2 linked regions of the Styela clava genome follow. The protein of the gene in region 1 purifies or fractionates together with the protein of each later gene. This does not show direct contact. Links are inferred from orthologs where the notes say so. Each region holds a gene or a part of one and is shown in the gene's direction. Other genes may lie near its edges. The genes, in order: cyclin-dependent kinase 7-like and CDK-activating kinase assembly factor MAT1-like.

Region 1 (3,936 bases):
ATCAACATGTGAAAGACTGCTAGGTTACCATGATTCTATAAATTCAATTGAAAATTCATCATCTAAAATACAAAATGCCAGAACAATTAAACTTGGGGAAATAATTCGTCAAGACAAGAAAAAATTACAAATGCGTAGGCAAGAGATTGCAGATTCCCAACGAACTGAAAAGCAACTATATAACTCATGTGCTAAAGAAATATTGGAATCTGCGGAATATCTTATGAAAGTTATTGAAAAATATAGATTAATATTACAACCTAAAAGAGATGATGAACACTTTTCTAATTTACTTTCACGCTGTGAAGCTCTGTCTTTAAAAATTTCTTCAATGACTGTAAAATTACAAAAATCTGTTTATACTCGAGATAGCATTATTGCATTGCAATCAGTTAGGTCAGAATTATTGAAACGTAAAAGAAATAATCATCAAGAGATTGTTGCCATTGAGCAGCAACTCACTGAGTTTAGAAACCTTGGGGACTCATTTAATGTTATTGTGAATGAATACAATCAATTACAAGAAGATATTGAACGACGTACATGGGCCTTGAATAAATTACATTAGATTAATTGGTTTTGGTTTTATAACAAATGAAAGTTTCATATTTTTGATTTTTTAATTGATAAGCAACAAATTAAATGGTAAATCGTTTTTTTTTTTTGGTGCATAATTTGATGGAAAAGTTTTTTTAATTTTTTTCTGTTTTTAGATTTATGGTAATTTGATCCTAAGTACTTTCAGGTGGCAACTATGGATACTGATGAAAAAAGTCCAGGATTCACGATTTCATGCGAAAATCCTGTTTTTGCATCCAAAATGCATGAAATTTTTTCTGGAATTGATTCTTCAGCCTCTAACATGATATCTTCAGATAGTGCGATTGAATCTGATGATAGTGAACAAGATGACAATGATTGCAGGATTAAAAAAGTCAGCAACAATAAATCTAAAGCTCTGATAAAGCCTCCCAAGCCTGACTTCTTAGTCAATCCATCTCGTTATACAAAATACAGCTTGAGGGATACAGAGCTGAGTGACAATAAAAGCAATACACAAATTGCTTTCCAATTTTTACGTGAACTAAGTAATAAAGAAGATTCTACATCACTGGAAAATGAATGCTCTGTTACATCGAAACAGCACGTTTTTAAAATGCCAGAGCATGCAGCTGGTGTGCCGAATGAAAATAAGAGGAAAACAGACTCGAAACCGAATATAAATAGTGATGAAATTCTGTGCGATAAAGTTGAACTTGATCATTTAGAAGAAAATATCTCAGCTGCCGAATTTGCTAGTGAAATAGCAGCAAAATTAGATGATTCAATTTCAAGACTCAACCCTGTTGACAATGATGATGCCTCTTCATCTTCAAGTGGAAAACATCAATTTAAATCTATTAATAAAAAAAACAGAAGACATTTGCGTAATAAGAGTCATGATGACAGTTGAATTCTATTTATATTCAAAATTATCATAAATAACAACACTGAGAGTCTGAAAGGTTGAATTGGTATTTTGTAATGTATGGTTCTTATTCCATATCTATAACATGGAATTTGTTCCTTTGATAAATTTAGATAGCAAATATTTCAAAATGTAAGATTTGAATTAATGTTCAAAATAATGAATTATTTCTTGCTTTATTATATGAATTATCTCTTACATTTATGTTCTGATGTTCGAAGTACATCGTGTAGGCTATCTCTGATAAATTAATATCTGATTATTCAATTCGTGAGAAATAATTAGTAACAACAAAGCGTAAAAATTATCAAATCTGGTATAAATAATTTTTTTTTGTTAACATTTTTTTTCTTGCAAATCACTGTTTTTCAGCACCAAAATACCTAAAAATTGGTAAGTATGCTAACAATATGACAGACAAAACCCTTAGATATGAGAAAGTGGAATTTCTTGGAGAAGGTCAATTTGCAACAGTATACAAGGCTAAAGATACTGAAAATGACAATAGAATTGTTGCTGTGAAGAAAATCAAGCTGGGAAATAGAATTGAAGCAAAAGATGGGATTAATAGAACTGCCCTGAGAGAGATAAAGTTATTGCAAGAACTACATCATGAAAATATCATTGGGGTAAATTATTTGTATTACTATGATAATGTATACATTTTAATGCAAAAATTTTACATGTCTTTGTGATAATTTCACAGTGAGCAGTGACCGCATATGTCTTACTTCAAGAAAATACCAGTATCTGTATGTGATACTACGTGGTATTTTTTTATTGTGATTTGCCTATCAAAATATTGAGGATATGTTTTTATAAGTTCTTACTGCATAATTTTTGCATCCAATATATACCAAAATATCTTGGAGTGTATGACTTATTTACCAATGGTTCCCAACCTTTTCCGACAAATTCCTCCCTCACTATGTATAAAAACTGTTGTTTCCGTTATTTGTTCAATCATTAATGAATCCTTAGTTAATACTATTCACAACTTTCACTCTGACTTTGCACAATATGAATAGTTTATAATATATCCATAAATACAAATTGAAATAATTACTTATTTGTGAATCCACTTCAAATGCAAAGTGATATTCCCCATCCCCAACCCATAAGAACATAAGAAAATTACTACCGGTTGGGGACTTACATCATATATGTATAAGTATTTACAACCTTTATTCATATTTGCCTATTTTTCTGAGTGTTTTATTTGTGTAATATTGATTTCTAGCTTTTGGATGTATTTGGACAAAAGTCGAACATCAGTCTAGTGTTCGATTTCATGGAGACTGATTTGGAAGTAATAATTAAGGACACAAGTATTGTACTGACCCAGAGTCACATTAAAGCTTACACAATAATGACATTAAAAGGCCTGGAATATCTGCATTCACAATGGATTTTGCACAGGGTAGGTGTGTTTACTGTTGTATCTTGATTTGCATTATTCAAGAATCTATTCATTATCCCATTCTCTTCACACCTCAATAGGATTTGAAGCCCAACAATTTATTGATTGATGCAGAAGGAATTTTGAAAATTGGTGATTTTGGTTTGGCTAAATCATTTGGAAGTCCAAGCAGAGAATATACACATCAAGTTGTTACGAGGTAGGAATTAAAACCGCCTTAATTCTAGTGTTATACATCATGTTAATGCTCTGTCATTGTTGAGAAAAAGGGATGGATTGTAGTATGAATTTGAGCATCTATGAGATTTAAATATGACTCTTCAGTAAGCAACATGGTAATCAGTCCCTGTGCACAACTTGATGTAAAGTAGGCGAACATTAGTTCGTTAGTTACGTCCATATTGGACGTAAAATTAGGTACACATACTCCTGGAGCACCGGTTAACTGGATGCACTTTTTAATATTATTTTGTGGGAGTTTTCATTTTAAATTAAATTTGTATATTACAAAAAATTTTAGCACAAGAATTCCATTTGTTTACGAAAATTAACTTGTCAAGCTTCAAGTCATTTATCTTGACTGAATTCAGAGATCAGTCTTGACAAAAATGATTGTTGACCTACATTATTGCAAGTTAAATGCGTTTCTGTGAACTGAATACAGATTCATTTGGCAGTGAGGAGTGAAACTTCAATGGACACTTCCATTTTATTTAAAACCCACAAAAACTTTATAGACCAGCGTTTCCCAAACTATGGGTCGCGACCCACTGGTGGGTCGCAAAAGAAATCTCAGTGGGCCGTGAAAAGATGTAGAAAGCTTTGGTTAATTTTACTGGGTATTAGGATCGGTGGCGACTCGAATACATAAATCTTCAAAAAAACAAAAGAAATTGAATTGAATTTAAATTCTAATCTGTGAAAGTTTCCTTTTTACGATCTTCTCAAAGGAACAAAAATTTGCTACACAAAGAATGATCATGTGGCTTTTTACGCATAGCAGTTTTGTACACTGTACAGCACTTCTTACCGTGTTTCCACAAAATTT
Region 2 (3,936 bases), on another chromosome or scaffold:
TTGCTATAACCAAATATTGTACAGTAAGAGTGTAAGACAAAAATTCACCACGCTTGAATTATGAAACATTCTTTTCTACCATCTTATTTGTATTTTGAATGTATTTGTCAATTCCGTATTTGTTTTTTTTTTTATGGTATTTCATGGACACTGTTGGAAGCTATTTGCAAATTCGATACCTGTGCATATATATTTTATTCATGAGGGGACTCTCACCTGAAATTGAATTAATTGAGAAAAGGGCACTTGCTTAGAGTAATAAATTCACTATTCTTACATGACCTACTGTTCAGACTTGTATTGCAGCCTTATGGATTTACTATAATATCAGTCATTATGTGAAACCTATGTTTTATTATTATTAAGAATGGCAAGAGTTTGAATTGAAGTAAACATGGAATATGATGGAATGATAGTTGTTCTGAAACTGTATAATATTAATAATGAATACTTGAGCGTTGAGCCAAAAAATGTTGTTTTCCATATTTAAAATAAAAAGCCTCACTTGGAAAAAATTTGTTGTATACCTTTCAATTGCTTGGAATTGTTACTTGTGTTGTTGCCTTGTAAATTTGTTTTATTGTTTTATAACCTATTGCTATACTGCCTACAGCTATGACTTTCTGTGCTGTGAAATAAACACAAACAATGTGATGCCTTTATTATTTATAGCCATTAAATTCAATATCATTTTTGTGTTTCCTTGAATTACTAAGATTGTGGGCCCATTCCTGTTGTACCTATTTGCTGAGCATTGGCTGGATGTCAATAAATGAATCCCCAATAATTACTTTTCAATTTCAATGAATAAGCACTTTTATTCATCCTATTGTTCATTTCCCTGTATGCGTCATGCACATGCACCTATTTTTAATAATTTATGTTAAATTTCTCTATAGTTTTCTAAATATAGCATGGAGGGTTAATCAAGTATGGTTCATAGGTCAGTAACACATTAGTTGGCAAGAGGAATGTGCCGAAGCTTCATTCAAATTACCTACCCCATAATAGCCCAAGTGGGCTACCAAGTATCATTATAACTTTCTTTGATTATGGGTTCAGTGTAAAACAAAATACTTTGAACGAATTGAACATTAGAAATACCTGAAAAAGGATTTTTTCAATGATTCAGATAATCGAAATTATGATTTCTGTAACCAATTTCACTGTGGCGTCATGGTTTTTCTTTTGAGTAAAATTAACATGTTTTTTGCAAAGTGTGTTTACGTTATTTAATATCATTGTTGGCCACACTTCTAAAATACCAAACTCTTCAAATATAGATATCCCAACATCCCTAGTTATACGTCTCAGTGGAACTGTTATTTGCTTTTCATATATGTGGTAAGATATTTTTTCATCTGTGAGATATTGATTTTTAGATTGTGTTTCGAAAGCATGAGTTTATCAATATTCAGTGTTACTTTTCACAAAACTAAATGAGTGGTAAAATGTATTAACTTTTACCCTATTGCCGTTATTTTTTATTTCATTTTTCTTGTCTGTAGCATGAAATGATATTATTATTAAAATTATTTTTATATTGTTTATATTTGTTCTCTTACATCCGTTGTTGTTAACAGCTTTAATTATTGTTTAAGCCTGTCAAGTCATATGAAATCATAATACATTACTTACCTCCCACTTCTACTGTGATTGGTAAGTAAGACTGATGTATATATGCCTATATTTTCTCTTAAAAATGTATATAAGGCTGTTTTCATTACCATACGAGTGTGATGATTTTGTATCACATGCTCCAGTATATTTATTTAACCTCAATGGGCTAATAAACCTATGGAACCACGTACCTACCTGTACCAGATTGCTAATTCATGATATTTCATCCAGATTTTTGCATCTGATAAACTTGTGAGCCTAGAATGGCCTATCATTATGGTGGTAAACGGTAGTGATTGAAAATACATTTTCTTCATTCATTTCACAGCTAAATTGAAAAGTAGGTAAGCAAAATTTATTAGTATTCTTTTCTTAGATATTAAGTTTATTATTTTACTTATTCTTTTTGATTTGATATACACTTCTTACTATTATCCTGCGTCTGTGGTTTTATTCCACTATTTTTTATTTTTTTTTGCAATGCTTATTGATGCAATTTGCTTCGAGCAAATCATGCATAAGCAGCCACTCAATAATAGGGAGATACTATTTTGATAAAACCAAAATCTTCCCGATTCGACTTTGCCTGTCCAATATGTTAGTGATCATGTGATTTGTACCAAAGATGTGTAACTTATGATGGTAACATAGCTAAGTCTAATGCTTAAAACCAGGGTTGTGCAACCTGCGTGGCCTGCAAGGAAAATCTTTGCAACCCGCATAGAAGTGCCAATTTTGAATGGTGTGCGACCCGCGAAACGAGTTTTTACTTTAGTTTAATCTGGATCCCCCAATCTTTTCGTCTTGCAAAGCCCATGCCTGAGTCCAATTTATGTGTATGACATTACAATGCCCGAAACTAGCTTGTGCGAGGTGAAAAACGCATGTCATAATATCAATATCCAAACTTTTTGTGCCTGCAACTACTAGAAAGCCTATGTTAAATAAGGTGTGGCCTGCGGTTTCACCCAGTTACGCTACTTGTATCTGGCCCGCTTGCACACCCATGCTTTAAACGCTAGGCTATCGCATTTTAAATTTGTATTCTATTTTTTGTCTTCAGGTGAAAATGGAAGACTTGAGTTGCCCAAGATGCCGTATGACGAAATATAGGAATCCTTCACTTCGATTAATGATAAATGTTTGTGGGCATGCATTGTGTGAGGCATGTGTTGATCTCCTTTTTGTCAGGGAGTCTGGGTCATGTCCAGAATGTGGATTGCCTCTCAGGAGAAGTGGATTTCGAACTCAGTTGTTTGAAGATACAGGTTACCTTGTGTTGTGTTACTGTAAACGGTTTTGTAACTTTTTCTTTTGTACATGGAGGTTTTACTACTGCTGTAGAATGTTTGATTTGAAAAATATTCAGTTTATAATATATTTCTAACTTAATGTGTGTGTTTAATATGCATAAGAAAAAAATTATAAGCCCCTATACATATTTAATAATGCAAATCGGGCGTTACCCAATAATGGCAGAGACACTGCTAGGGTACTGTCATAATTCCATCATAAGTTTAAGTGAATTATATTTCTATCTGCAGTAGTATGAGGCAGTATTTACTTTTATTCAGCAAATTTTCCCGACACAGGGTGATTCATCCCACTTGAACTTTTGTTTGTCAATGATTTCAAAAGGTTGAATAATTTATGACGCACTTCACAAAAGTTATGTTTTCTCTGAGATGTTCTAACTGACCTGGGTTCGTTTTTTCTTTGGGTCACCCTGTTTATTTGAGAAAAGTTGCTCCATTATTCACTTTAAGTTTTAGATCCGATACATTTCTATAGGGAAGATAAATAATATGCAAAATTGCTGTAATTACTAATAAGGAACACATTATTTCCCCGCATATTAATAAGATACATCTCCGGGCCATGACTGGTAAATTGAAATGAGTCTTGGCAGTTGAATCCAGCTCTTTTGATTCAAGGTGTAGACAAAGAGGTTGATGTGCGAAAACAGATAATGAAGATTTACAACAAACAAGAAACAGACTTTGGGTCATTGCGAGAATACAATGATTATCTTGAAGAAGTAGAAGTTATTATTGACAGTCTTATATCAGGCATAAATATAGAGGCAACCCGTGCAAAAGTTGCTGCTTATAAGTTCGAAAATGAAGCTTTAATACGTCGCAATCAAGCTCGAATTAGTCAAGAAAAGGCATACTGGCAAGATCAAATAGAGAATGAAAAACGTCAAAATGATCTCAAGAGGCATATTCAAGGTAATTCAAATTTAACATACTGTAATTCATCAGGTTTCTATTCTTCGGGGAAAAAATTATGGATTTTTGCAGAATATTCAGTTCT

Evidence for each region.
Region 2: the proteins of cyclin-dependent kinase 7-like (region 1) and CDK-activating kinase assembly factor MAT1-like purify together in Drosophila melanogaster (affinity purification with western blotting; 3 studies listed by BioGRID, with this or other methods). This does not show direct contact. The link is inferred for Styela clava from reciprocal best matches to the Drosophila melanogaster genes Cdk7 and Mat1.

What each region holds. Positions count from the first base shown.
Region 1 is NC_135257.1:7,017,402-7,021,337, reverse strand, and holds the start of cyclin-dependent kinase 7-like, read left to right. Parts: upstream 1-1,728; 5' UTR 1,729-1,878; coding exon 1,879-2,097; intron 2,098-2,708; coding exon 2,709-2,888; intron 2,889-2,968; coding exon 2,969-3,087; intron 3,088-3,936. Other genes in the region: HAUS augmin-like complex subunit 4, read left to right, coding at 1-568; uncharacterized protein LOC120345846, read left to right, coding at 755-1,453.
Region 2 is NC_135252.1:4,391,912-4,395,847, forward strand, and holds the start of CDK-activating kinase assembly factor MAT1-like, read left to right. Parts: upstream 1-1,631; 5' UTR 1,632-1,659; intron 1,660-1,851; 5' UTR 1,852-1,960; exon of another isoform or gene 1,961-1,964; intron 1,965-2,683; 5' UTR 2,684-2,689; coding exon 2,690-2,888; intron 2,889-3,554; coding exon 3,555-3,851; intron 3,852-3,936.